3 linked regions of the Alligator mississippiensis genome follow. The protein of the gene in region 2 purifies or fractionates together with the protein of the main gene of each other region. This does not show direct contact. Links are inferred from orthologs where the notes say so. Each region holds a gene or a part of one and is shown on either strand. Other genes may lie near its edges. The genes, in order: CDIN1, ASF1A and RBBP7.

Region 1 (3,746 bases), on a different chromosome or scaffold from region 2:
ATTGGGCCAGAAGGGAGGTCATCTAGTCCAAGCTACTGCTAGAAGGCAGGCTCATCCCTGACTAAACCATCCTATTGTAGTATTTGTCTAACACGCTTAACTTTGTTCTCAACTTCATTACCCAAAGAACTCTTTGAAGCACTTCACTCCTAGCACTTCTCCTCCACTGCAGATTTTTAACCTTGAATTTTAGGATTTTTAAATTAAAGACATAGTATGTGGAAATGTATTACTATGGCCTCGATTTCAGAGAACAGAAAGGTGCTTCATCTGTATATTTAAATACCAACATTAAAGGTAACTGCTAGTCATTTTATCAGAAGTTACAAGCAGGATAAATGCTTAAAATTCTCCCCATACCGAACAGACTACAATGCTTCAAAATGTATTTGGGATCTTCTAAAGAAGTTGATGGTTCCCAGTGGACAGTTGTCACCATCTAATAAACTGTAACCACCATTCACATGCTGACTTGCAATCCAAGCAAATAAGTTAATGAGCAAATGAAAAGGAAGGTCAGACTATTCTCTTACTCAGGACAGCATTGACACTTCTTGGTAGTACGATGTTGAAAAACCAACTCTGCTGCTTTCTAGTTTCTTTCCTATGAAAGAACACACTGAGGGAACAAGGACTTTTACTTCAATGCAATTTACTTGGACTACATTCACTCATTTTTCAAAAAGTGTTTAGTACCATTCATTTTATCCTACAGCGAAGCTGATATGAAAAACAGCTAAACTGCAAATTGGAGCAAGGTATGCAAGGCAAAGGGAGCACTTTAGCAGCGTATTTATGCTGGCTCTTCTGCGTTGACCACCAAGGGATCTGAAGCACCTCAGAAATAATAATGAACGTACCCCTGTGGTATTCCCCTGAGGGAGGGAATTATTTTTATTCCCATTTTACAGAGGAATAAAAGCAGAGAAAGTTAGAACCTGAATGTTGCACATCCACCTCTCAGGAGGTCCACTGCGCCTTTTTGAAGGGCCTGCCCAGTTACAGAACTGGAGGGAGGAGCTGGAAATAGAATCCAGATCCTAATTCCAGTCCTGTGGATTAATCACCATGATTCCTGGCCTTAACAATAGAAGCTGTGAATTATTTGCTCAGGAGGTTGTTGTTGGGGTTTTTTTAAATAACCATACATAGTGCAAGGGACCGCCTATTTTTTCCCCTCAAATATTTCATGTGGTAAGTGACTGATGCTCTTATCTGGTCAGAGGTATCCATCCCACGCTTCAGAAGCCTTGTTAATTGAAAATAAATGCCCCCCCAAAAGAAAGTCCCAATGCAGGGTAACAGAACGTGCACGTACCCCACTGAGATTAAAACCCAGGAAATGCTGCCTGTCTACCGCTGCCCCCTTGTTACAAGTCAGCTGCCTCTTCCCAAAAACCACAGGGATAAAGCGGTGTTTTCAGGAGAAGGGTAACAGATGCATGGCGCTATTCTAGCTGGGCAAAAACAAAACTGGGAGATGAGGCTCCGCTCATCACCAAGCAGGCCCTGCTGGTGTTTTAAGCCCAAAATGTATTCATGTGCCTTCAACAGGTAAAGTTTGGGAGATGTGAAAGCAGGTGGATACTTGTGTAAGCAGGTCCCGGCCTTTGCCTTCAACCTGAGAGAGAGAGCTGTATGCAGAAGTGGGCTTGCTGGTCTGAAGGTCGCTTGAAACGGGGAGCGACACCCCAAGTCAGGCAGGTGCCACCGCAAACAGGGGCCAAGGCAGCAGGCCAGAAGCACTGTGGGAACCGGGCAGCCTTTATTTCGCAGCAGGTCCAGGACCAGGGCGCGGGGGCGTGGCTGTGGTTGTGCACCGTTCAGGGCCATGAGGCCGCCGGCCACCGCCACACCCGCGCGGGCGGCGCCGGGAGCAGAGTAGAGCAGAGCAGGGCGGGCGGCGGCGGCTTACCTGGGGAATCGCTCCTTCAGCCGCCTCAGGCTCTGGCGGGTGGGCTGCACGTGCCCCAGGAACCGGGCGATCTCCTCGTACTGCGCCTTGCTCAACTTCATGCCGCAGCCGCACAGCAGCTCCCCCGCCCGCAGCTGGGCCGGCCTGTGCAGCACCAGCTGCAGCAGCAGCAGCAGGGGGCGGCGGTAGGGAGCAGCGCCGCGCTCCGGCGGCGGCGGCCTGGAGGCAGGAGGAAGCGGCGCCGTGGCCTGTCACGCAGCCAGCCCCGCAGCCGGGCGCCCATGCGCCGTGCAGCTGCGGCCCCGCCCCGCAGGCTGGGCAGGGGGAGGGAGCCGCGGCGAGCGGGGCGGAGCCCGCTCCCATTCCCTCTCGGGCGGCGCCGCCCCGGCCGCGGGCCCAGCTCTGCCCGCGCTCTGCTCTTCACGCCTGACACGCGCCCTCGCTCCTGCCGCCTGGCCCGCTGTCCCGGGTGGGCCTGCGCCTTCTGTGGTGGCTCTGCCGACCTCTGCCACCGTCTGTTTCAGGACTCCCGCCTTGTGACCCCCTCTTCCTGGGCAAAGCCCCGTTGAGGTCATTGGGACCATCAGAGCTGCCTTTCTTATGGCAGGCCAGGTTCTTTGGATGGACGTGCTAGCTTTTATTAGACCGAGTCTTGGGGGGGGGGAAAGATCTTGGCAAGCTTTTGGGCACAGTCGCCCTTCTTCGGGCCTAGGACATCTTTGCTATTCTGATCCTCCAAGGCACGAGGACCGCAAAACCCTTCCCCTGTGCCAGGGGGTCTCAAACTGTGGGTCGTGACCCTCGGGGGGTCACAAGCAACTTAAAGGGGGCAGCAAACTTCCCAGGGGGTACGTGCAGTGGTGCAGAGTGGTGGATGGTGGCGGCGGCTGCCGTGTGCGAGCTCTCCCCCCGTGCACCGCTGCTGCCACCCAGCGCTTGGGGTCGCGGGTATGACAAAGTTTGAGAACCTCTGCCTTATGTCTTCAAAACAAATCAGTCAGTTGCTTATGTTCTCACCAGCTTCACAAGTGTTAGGCCCTGGTTTTAGCCTGTTTCGGGCATTACAAAAGACAGTATATGCAGGCTCCGGCAGCAGACCCCTGATTGAAGTGCTTTGCATTTAAGATCTAAGGTTCGTGGAGGACTGGGCTCCCTTGAAGTACAGAACCTCAGCTGCAGACTACGGGTTAACCGTGCAGAAACTTGATGCTTCTCTTTCACTCTATCTCTGGAAATATTCATGTTGATTGTAATGGGCCTGGGCTGCTGCAGAAAGTACATATAAATAACAGTACTGCCAGAGATCCTGAATCTGCCTCCCTTACTCCCCAAATCTATAAAATTGGCTTTAAAATCGGGAGACTTAAAAAAAAAAAACTTGAGTTCTTTTTATTTGCCGTTGGATTTCAAGCCTTTGGGGGTTTATGTTTTCCAGTGTTCTTGGAGAACCTGGGAGCCAAAAACGTAAAAAATAAAAATGAAAACAGGTTTCCACAGGGCTGCAAGATCTGGAGCTTTAGAAAAATGATAAAGAAATGATAAATATTGCCAGACTTGTGGTGACTTTGTGCATGCTGGTAATGCCAGAGCACTTTCAGAAGGACTTGTTGTATTGGTTCCTAATTAACCCTCCAATGCTGCACGTGTATATGTGCAGGAGACTTTGTGTCCATTCATGGTCATATAGACTTCAGGAGGGGTCTGTGTCAGCACAAGAGTCATCCATTAAGCAGTTATATTAACATTAAGAGTTGTGACCTAGATACATAAAAATATTTTAAGTTTATATGAAAATAGTGGTTTATTTCCATTTCAGCATTCCTCTGCAGAA
Region 2 (3,746 bases):
TAGCCCTTCTGTATGTATATTTATCTTTTAAGGTGACATAATTTTTCTTCCAGCTTAGTGTGCCAAACTAGGTTGTTTTTGCCTACCTTTGAAGCATCTGGTTTGGGTTACTGCAAAGACAAGTCACCAGACAAAAATGTCTAGTGACCTGACCCAGTCTGGCTGTCCTATTGAGGACAGCGCCTTAAGTCTTATGAGGAGAGGACAGCAAAGGCTAAGATTCTCTCGAACACATTTATTATAAGTTATTAAGCCAGTATAAAATTAATTGTGGACTGATAGCTTATATTATCTACAAACCACAACTTGTTTTGCAACTTTTTTTTTTTTTTTTTTTTAAGTGGTACATTTTAAAGCATAAAACTTTTCAGTTAAAACCATTTAAAAAGGTATTGATGGATGCAAGGAATCTTAAACTGGCATAACTGAATGGACTCCATTTAAAAATTAAATAACATTTGGAGAGAAAAATTGATCAGGGCCCGCCCACAATTTTGGGGGGCCCCCTGATCCATTGAAAAAAAATCAGAATTGCAGATAACTCTAGTATAAACTCACTGAAATAACATGGGCTGAGCTGTAGGGGTGGGGGCAGCACATGCTGGGGATGCCTGGGTTCCCTCCCTGGGACCAGGAACTCCCCCCACTTGGCCAAGAAGGGGCTCCCTGCCCGAATCGAGCCCTTTAAACATGGTGCAGGGAGTGGGGGGGCGAGCAGCAGGTCCTGTAGTATTTGGATAGTAGTAATTAAAAATAAGGCAACAGCAACTTCCTTCACTACATGTATTAGTATTTTCTGTAACTTTAACGACCTGTATAAAAAAAAATCAAAATCAAAAGTAAAAAATCTGTACTTGTAATAGGCAGGGATGTGAAAAACGGTAGTGTGCTTTTCATTCCTAGTTGAAAACAGGAGCCTAATATTGCTAAGTAAGCAAGCAGGCAGTTTTAAATTTTGGCTCATTGAGATGCCAACCATCCTTGCTTCAATACGCAAATCCATTAGTAATGAATATGAGCTAAATACACAAGAGCAGGAGAGGAGGGGCAGAAGTCCTAGGCACACAGGTCCAGGTAATATGCCCTGTCTGCTAGTGCTCCCAGACTTTAAAAACAGGCTGTGGCACTGGTGCACCAGCTGCCACATCCACAGGGGCTTGGGCCAAACCTTGTTTAAACCAAGACAGTGTTTCTCAACCAGGAGGTTGGTACCCTGAGGATGTGAGATCCTTTAAAGGGTGCCTGAGGTGCAAGAGGAGTGCAGGTTCAGGCTCCTCCCTGCAAGGAAGTAAGCAAGGCCCGGCAGTCGTTGCTGGGGGGTGCCAGTCCAGTCACACAGGTGATGAGGTGCCTCAGGTTAGCCTCCCCCCATTGCCTGTGTGACTGCACTGGCATCCCCCAGGTTAGCACACCCCCCCCCATCTGAAACAGTTAAGAATCACTAGAGAGAGGCTGGGGGAGCAGCCTCTGCCAGCCTGTCCCAGCACTGCCCCAGGGAGGACGTCCTCCAGAGACAGCACTGAGAGTGGCCCCGTTCCCCCAGGCCTGGCAGGGCCTTCTTCCCACTTGCCCACTGGCAGCCAGTCTAGCACCACGTGCCTTCTGACTTGAGCGTCTTTGGGTAAAGGTGACAGTTTTTTCCAACTATTTAGTTAGTCTATCACAAAATGTTTTTGGGGGCACCAACACACTTCTTCAGGTGCAGGGAGAGTGTTTTGCCTTCTCTAGGCACCAATATATAAAGCATGTGCCTGAAGAAGGGCGTTAGTTGGAAAAAGTGTTTTTCCAGGCACCAGTGTTCTTCAGGCATGGGGAGAGCGCTCTACCTGCTCCTGGAGGGAGCGGGAGCCGACATACAAAGCGTGCGAGGGCACTGGTGCCTTGAAAAACATTTTTTCCAACTAACGCCCTTCTTCAGGCACAGGCTTTGTATGTCGGCTCCTGCTCCATCCAGGAGCAGGCAGAGCGCTCTCTCCCTGCCCCTGAAAAAGGGTGCTGGTGCCCCGAAAAGCAGTTCCCCCAACTATTTGGTGCAAGACACCCCCTCTCCCCACAGAGCCTGGCCGGCCTGCGGGCAAAGCGGAGGCCGGGCGGCTCGGGGGGCCGTAGGCCGCCGCGGGAGCAGGGGCTGCGGCTAGCGCCGCTCCACCACGCGGGGCTGGGGAGCGCGGCCCGGAGAGGGGAAGGGAAGGCGGCAGCTCCTCCCAGCTCGGTCCCGCCGCTTCCCGCGCTCCTCAGCCCGGCAGCTCCCGACCCCGCTCGCAGCCCGCCTCCCGGCCCCGATGCGCCGGCGCCGGCGCGCACAAAGCTGGCAACATGGCTCCCGCCACTCGCACAACTTCCTCGCAACTTGCCCCCGAGCCGGGCCGCCCGGTTCCACCCTGCCCCACTGCTCGCCGGGTGCGGGCGGCCTCACCTTCCGACAGGTCCTCGATACACTCGAAGGTGATCTCGAACTGAAAGGGGTTGTAGAAGGGCGAGGGGTTGTCCAGCACCACCACGTTGTTCACCTGCACCTTGGCCATGGTCTGCACAATGGGCTGCGCCCGGCCTCGGGCCCCCGCGCGCTCCCCCCGCCCGCAACTTTCTTGTCGTCTCTTTCTTTCCTTCTTTTCTTTTCTTTTCTTTCCTCTCCGCTCCCCCGCCCCCTGTCCGCCGGCCCGCCTGCCTTCCCCGCGCCCGCAGCGCGCCGCCGCCTCGCTAGTCCGTTCCGCGCCGCCCCATTCTCCTCGCTTAAGGGACAGCGCCGGCGCCGATTGGCCCGCGGGCCCGAGCCCCGCCCCCCGCGCCCCGCCCCGCCCGCTCCGCACGGTCAAGACAGGCTGCGCGGCAGCGCGCGGCGCCGCGACTGGCCGCGTCTCCCTCTGCCGGAGCCCCGCGGAACAGGCGCGCAGGGAGGAGCCGGCCCCACAGCGTGGCTGACGCCGCTGTCGGGTCTCTTCGCGGCTTGGCTTGTCCGGCGGCTTCGTTTCCAGCTCTGTCCCTTTTCCAAAGGCAGGGTTGTTTTCCTTTCTTCTTCTTCTTGTCTGTGTATAGAAGATGGAGAGAGAGAGACATTGAAGGGGGGAAAAAGAATGGGGAAAGAGTTGGAAGGGGGAAGAAATGGGGAGAGATGGAGAGGGGGAGGGAGAGGTGGGGAGAAAGAGAGTAGATACAAATATGCATTTTATATCATTTCTATGCATGTATACGGGCAGCCCCCACTTAGCACCCTATATGGTTCCTGAAAAACCCAGCATTAAGTGAAACCAAAAGTATTTGACAACCCAAGATGGCAACCACAATTGTTTTTAATGACCCAAGATGGTGACCTTGAGCGTTGTAACAAAACTCGCTGAGCGCCAAGTGGAATAGGGTATCAATTTTAAATGAGCGTTATAGAGAAATAGCGCTAAGCCAAAGAGAGTTAAGTGGGGGTTGCCTGTATATAACTATATACATTTAATATACGTATTATATAATTTTTATACCTGTATAATGTGGCTGGATGTTGAAAATAACTTTTTATTTTCACTGAGGGAAACAGACACATAAGCAGCAATTCTTCTCTTGTGATCAAATGTTTGTGCTGACCCTTTAGGTACCATGGAGCATCTCTGGGACCCCCAGAACGTAAGGAGCCAAACCTGCAACCCTTTTGCAAGTGCTGCACTTGCTTGCTCAGATCTTTTGAAGTCAATGGGGCTCTTCCCTTGACTGGTGGCTACCAATCAGAGGAAGGGCTGCAAGTTCATGTTCATATTGGG
Region 3 (3,746 bases), about 220 Mb from region 2:
TTGTTTAACTTAATACTAGACACGAAAGCCATTTACAGTAAGATTTTTCAGCACTCAACTACTCTGTATAGTGTATGCTAGTAAACAAGTTGCAGTATACACGTATGTTAAAACCAGACATTTAATTAAAAAAAAATATTTCAAGTAAGAATGTAATTCAATAAGATATGCATTATTTACCACTGTGGCTAGAAGAATACACACTGAAAATGCCTGCAAAACCTACCTCCCTTCTCACTATCATATTGAGAGACATCAAACTGATCATCATTAGGAATCTGGACTCTTGCAACCACCAAATGGTTCTGTTCATCAGAGGTGTGTGTTCCCAACACTAACCAGTGAAGGGCATGGTCTTTTCCTTCTGGCCTGCTCGATAAAACAATAGTCATACAAAATAGTCAAAGAGTTCAGGTTTGTTTTTTTTTAACTTATTTTTTTTGCTACAAAGTTTGCCCGTGACACCCAATTGGTCTAGGAGACCAGAGATTAATTCAAAGAGCACTTTTTTTCTGCCATATTAGGAATACTAGTATAAGAGCTTAAGCTGAACTGCAGAGGTTCACAGCACTGTAGACATGACAGATAAATCTTTGCCAAAATTGGAGTGACAATCCCAAAATAATTTTATAATGATTTTCATTACTATGTGAACAGCAGAATTATGACTTTTTATTTGCACAAAAAGATTAAATAAAGGCATTTTGACATTAGTACCTGAGAAGGGCAGGACATGAGATTTTTGTTCTCATGTAAAGATTTTCCAAACAAAAACCAAAAACATGAGTAGCTTAGAAAACAATATTGAATGTTTAAATATGGTCTATTACTAGGAAACTGTTGTGGGGAATAAGTTAGAAATTACAGCAGAACGTGCATTATCTACCAACAACCAAAAAAACATGCCCACAATTTTATGCTGTAACTTAAAAATGGAATCAGGAGACTTCTAGACTATTGTTTCTTCAGTAGCAAATGACAGTTAATAAACTGTGAAAGAAGGTAGCGCCTTAAGACTCAAAGCAATTTCTGTGTTCAAGAAAGCAAAGGCCCAGTACAGACCAAACAAAGCTTCTGGAGGAAAAAAAACCCTAACAGTTCACAATCCCATTGCTATACTGCATCCAATGCTCTCCTCACCCCTGTATGAATAAGCCTCCCATCATGGCAGATGAAACTCAAAAGGGACCATGTTGGTTTTAAGTGATTTACATATTGTGACACTAGCTATACAATTAAAACTAGCTATTTTAAAAAAGTCAAGCCATTAATATGCGAGGTAAGCAGAAGCACTTCACACAAGGGTCTTAGTTAACCTTTCTCTCTCCTTCCCAGCCTCCTGTTCTCAAGTCCTTGCAAGCCCAAATACTTTCACATGCTAAAATAACAATAGATGTAAAGCCATCATTTACACAAACTATGATTTTAGAGGAAAAACAAACCCGCGCCAATTCTCCAATGACTGCACCCCAGCTGTACTGTAAAACACGAGCTACACACACACACACACACACACACACACACCCCCCCCCCCCCCCCCCCCGGCCTTTGACTTTGTTCTGACACCCAGTAGGTATTTATTTCAAGATGCTACTTGGAACATCAAAATGTACAACCGTTAGAGAAAACAGCACAGAGATGAATATCCTCTATCACAGCAGGGGAGGGCAACTGCTTTGGCAGATGCATGGCAACATGAGCCCCACACCCTTCCCTTGCCCCATCAGCTGCTCCAAGATCCACCCCTGCCTCATCAGCTGGGCTGCCATCCCTTTCCTTCCTCTCCCCTCCTCAGAGTAAGGGAGGCTGCCCATGTGTGGCAGTCATGGGGCAGCTATGGCTCCTGGGAGCTCTCAGGAGCACCCCAACTTCTTGATGGACACCTGCAAGGGGTCTAAGCCCCCTCAGCAGGACAAGAGGCCAGCAGGCTTCAGCATCCGTGTCACAGCACAGCTGCCATGGGGTGCCTCTTGCCTCCTGCACAGGTAGAAACAGCCCCACGTGGAACAGGGCAGGGCCGAGGGGCCCCCATTGGAACGTTCCGAGGCGGGGCCGTTAACGGCCCTAGAACGCTCAGGGGCAGGACCGTTAACTGAGGCCCCGCCTCGCGTGCCCGGGGGCAGGGGAAGGGGCCCCGCCTCACCTGGTGACGTCAGGCAGCCACTGCACGGTGAGGCTGGGCCACTCCAACGCGTGGGTCATGACCAGGTCGTAGAGGAAGGGCGTGTTCTTCTTCCACACGCGGTACTCCTCACCGATCACCCGCTCCTCCGCCGGCTCCTCCGCCACTGCCGGCCCAACCGCCGCATCAGGTCCCGGCCAATGGCTCCCTCAAGCTCGAGACCCCCTGTCCTGCCCTCCCCCTTCCCCCACCCCACCTCCCCACTTACCCTCCCGGGTCGCCATCGCGCGAGGGGTGGAGGCGGGGCCGATCTCGCGCCCCGCGCCAGCCGCTGCGCAGGCGCGCTCAAGACGCCCCGCTCCAAACTCGGCTCCCGCCTTCCCACCCGCGCGCATGCGCAGCACCCACCGCCCCGCCTCGACGCCAGGACGCCGCCTGCGCTTGCGTCCGCTTCCTGCGGCCGGCCTCCGCGGAACACAAGAACCCCACCCCCACTTGCCCGCCGGCGACCGAGCGTCGCCTGCGCACGCGCCCTCCTTCCACTCTTCTCCCGCCTGACAGGGCGTTAAGCGCATGCGCAGTAGAGTGCACTGTCGTGGAGGGCGGGGGGAGCCGTAAACGGTGAACGTGGCAGATCAGCGCCCGTTAGCGGGGGGTGCTGGGCACAGCCATTGTTGCTGGGTGTCTGAGAATTTACACCGTCATTTCAACCCTTCTACGATGTACAATCAATAATAGGAAAAGTGTTCAAAATGTACAGTACTTTTTGAGGCAATAATGGAGGCAACTAACATGCAAAACCCGAGTCACGACTCACCGGGAACCCTCTGGGCGTGTTGCTGGTACTCCCCCATGACTACTTGCCTTGAAATAAAAGCATGTTTCAACTTGCATGACCCACACCTCACTCACTCCCTGGCCAGTTGCAGTGAGCAATAAAAAATAAATAAAAAAGGCTTATCTGCATACTTGTTTGCATGTGTCTGCATAATTTTCAGTGTATGATAGTTTTTGAGCAAATATGATAATTTAATATTTAAGACCTGACAATGCACATCACACCGTGGCTCCCGCCTACTTGTCCCTAAGTCACCTGGACTCCTGCCCCCACAGGGCAGCATTGCTGGGGGCTGCTGCCTGTCTCTGAGGGGGCGCTTCAGGATGCTCTTTTTGTCCCTCTGGTGTTTGAAACCTTCCTGCCAAGCTTTCCCCCTTTGCTGCCAGGCCCAGCAGACGCTTGGCACTTTGCTCCTCACCAAAAGAGGGCTGGGACTTGCCCGTCCTCCCCAGTCCTTCCCAGTGCCGGGATACCTGCCCCAGCCCCCTGGTTGGCCAGACTGTGCCTTGCCACCCCCAGAACAAGCTCAGCTCACACCCCAGCGGCGCAGAAGTAGAGTGTGCCCCAACTCCTCTGGCCCTGCAGGCCAGAGGCAGGCAGCAGAGCTTCCCTGGGCCCAGATGACCCACCTTGGCCACTCAGGGGTCACACCAACCCTGCTGCCTTTCCTCTTTTGCCAGTTTTTAGTGGCCAACAACCTCAATCTGACAGCAGGCCGGGGGGCAGGAGCTGTGGTGACCCTGCCCGGGTTGTGGAGTTACGCCAACAAGCCCTGCCGGCCACAAT

What was found.
Region 1: the proteins of ASF1A (region 2) and CDIN1 purify together in Homo sapiens (affinity purification with mass spectrometry; 3 studies listed by BioGRID and IntAct, counting the BioPlex papers as one, with this or other methods). This does not show direct contact. The link is inferred for Alligator mississippiensis from reciprocal best matches to the Homo sapiens genes ASF1A and CDIN1.
Region 3: the proteins of ASF1A (region 2) and RBBP7 purify together in Homo sapiens (affinity purification with mass spectrometry; 5 studies listed by BioGRID and IntAct, counting the BioPlex papers as one, with this or other methods). This does not show direct contact. The link is inferred for Alligator mississippiensis from reciprocal best matches to the Homo sapiens genes ASF1A and RBBP7.

What each region holds. Positions count from the first base shown.
Region 1 is NC_081825.1:246,501,471-246,505,216, forward strand, and holds the start of CDIN1 (CDAN1-interacting nuclease 1), read right to left. Parts: upstream 2,218-3,746; 5' UTR 2,017-2,217; coding exon 1,916-2,016; intron 1-1,915. UniProt on the Homo sapiens protein: Plays a role in erythroid cell differentiation.
Region 2 is NC_081824.1:103,481,195-103,484,940, reverse strand, and holds the start of ASF1A (histone chaperone ASF1A), read right to left. Parts: upstream 2,669-3,746; 5' UTR 2,526-2,668; coding exon 2,417-2,525; intron 1-2,416. UniProt on the Homo sapiens protein: Histone chaperone that facilitates histone deposition and histone exchange and removal during nucleosome assembly and disassembly.
Region 3 is NC_081824.1:321,631,872-321,635,617, reverse strand, and holds the start of RBBP7 (histone-binding protein RBBP7), read right to left. Parts: upstream 2,507-3,746; 5' UTR 2,407-2,506; coding exon 2,391-2,406; intron 2,289-2,390; coding exon 2,144-2,288; intron 370-2,143; coding exon 227-369; intron 1-226. UniProt on the Homo sapiens protein: Core histone-binding subunit that may target chromatin remodeling factors, histone acetyltransferases and histone deacetylases to their histone substrates in a manner that is regulated by nucleosomal DNA.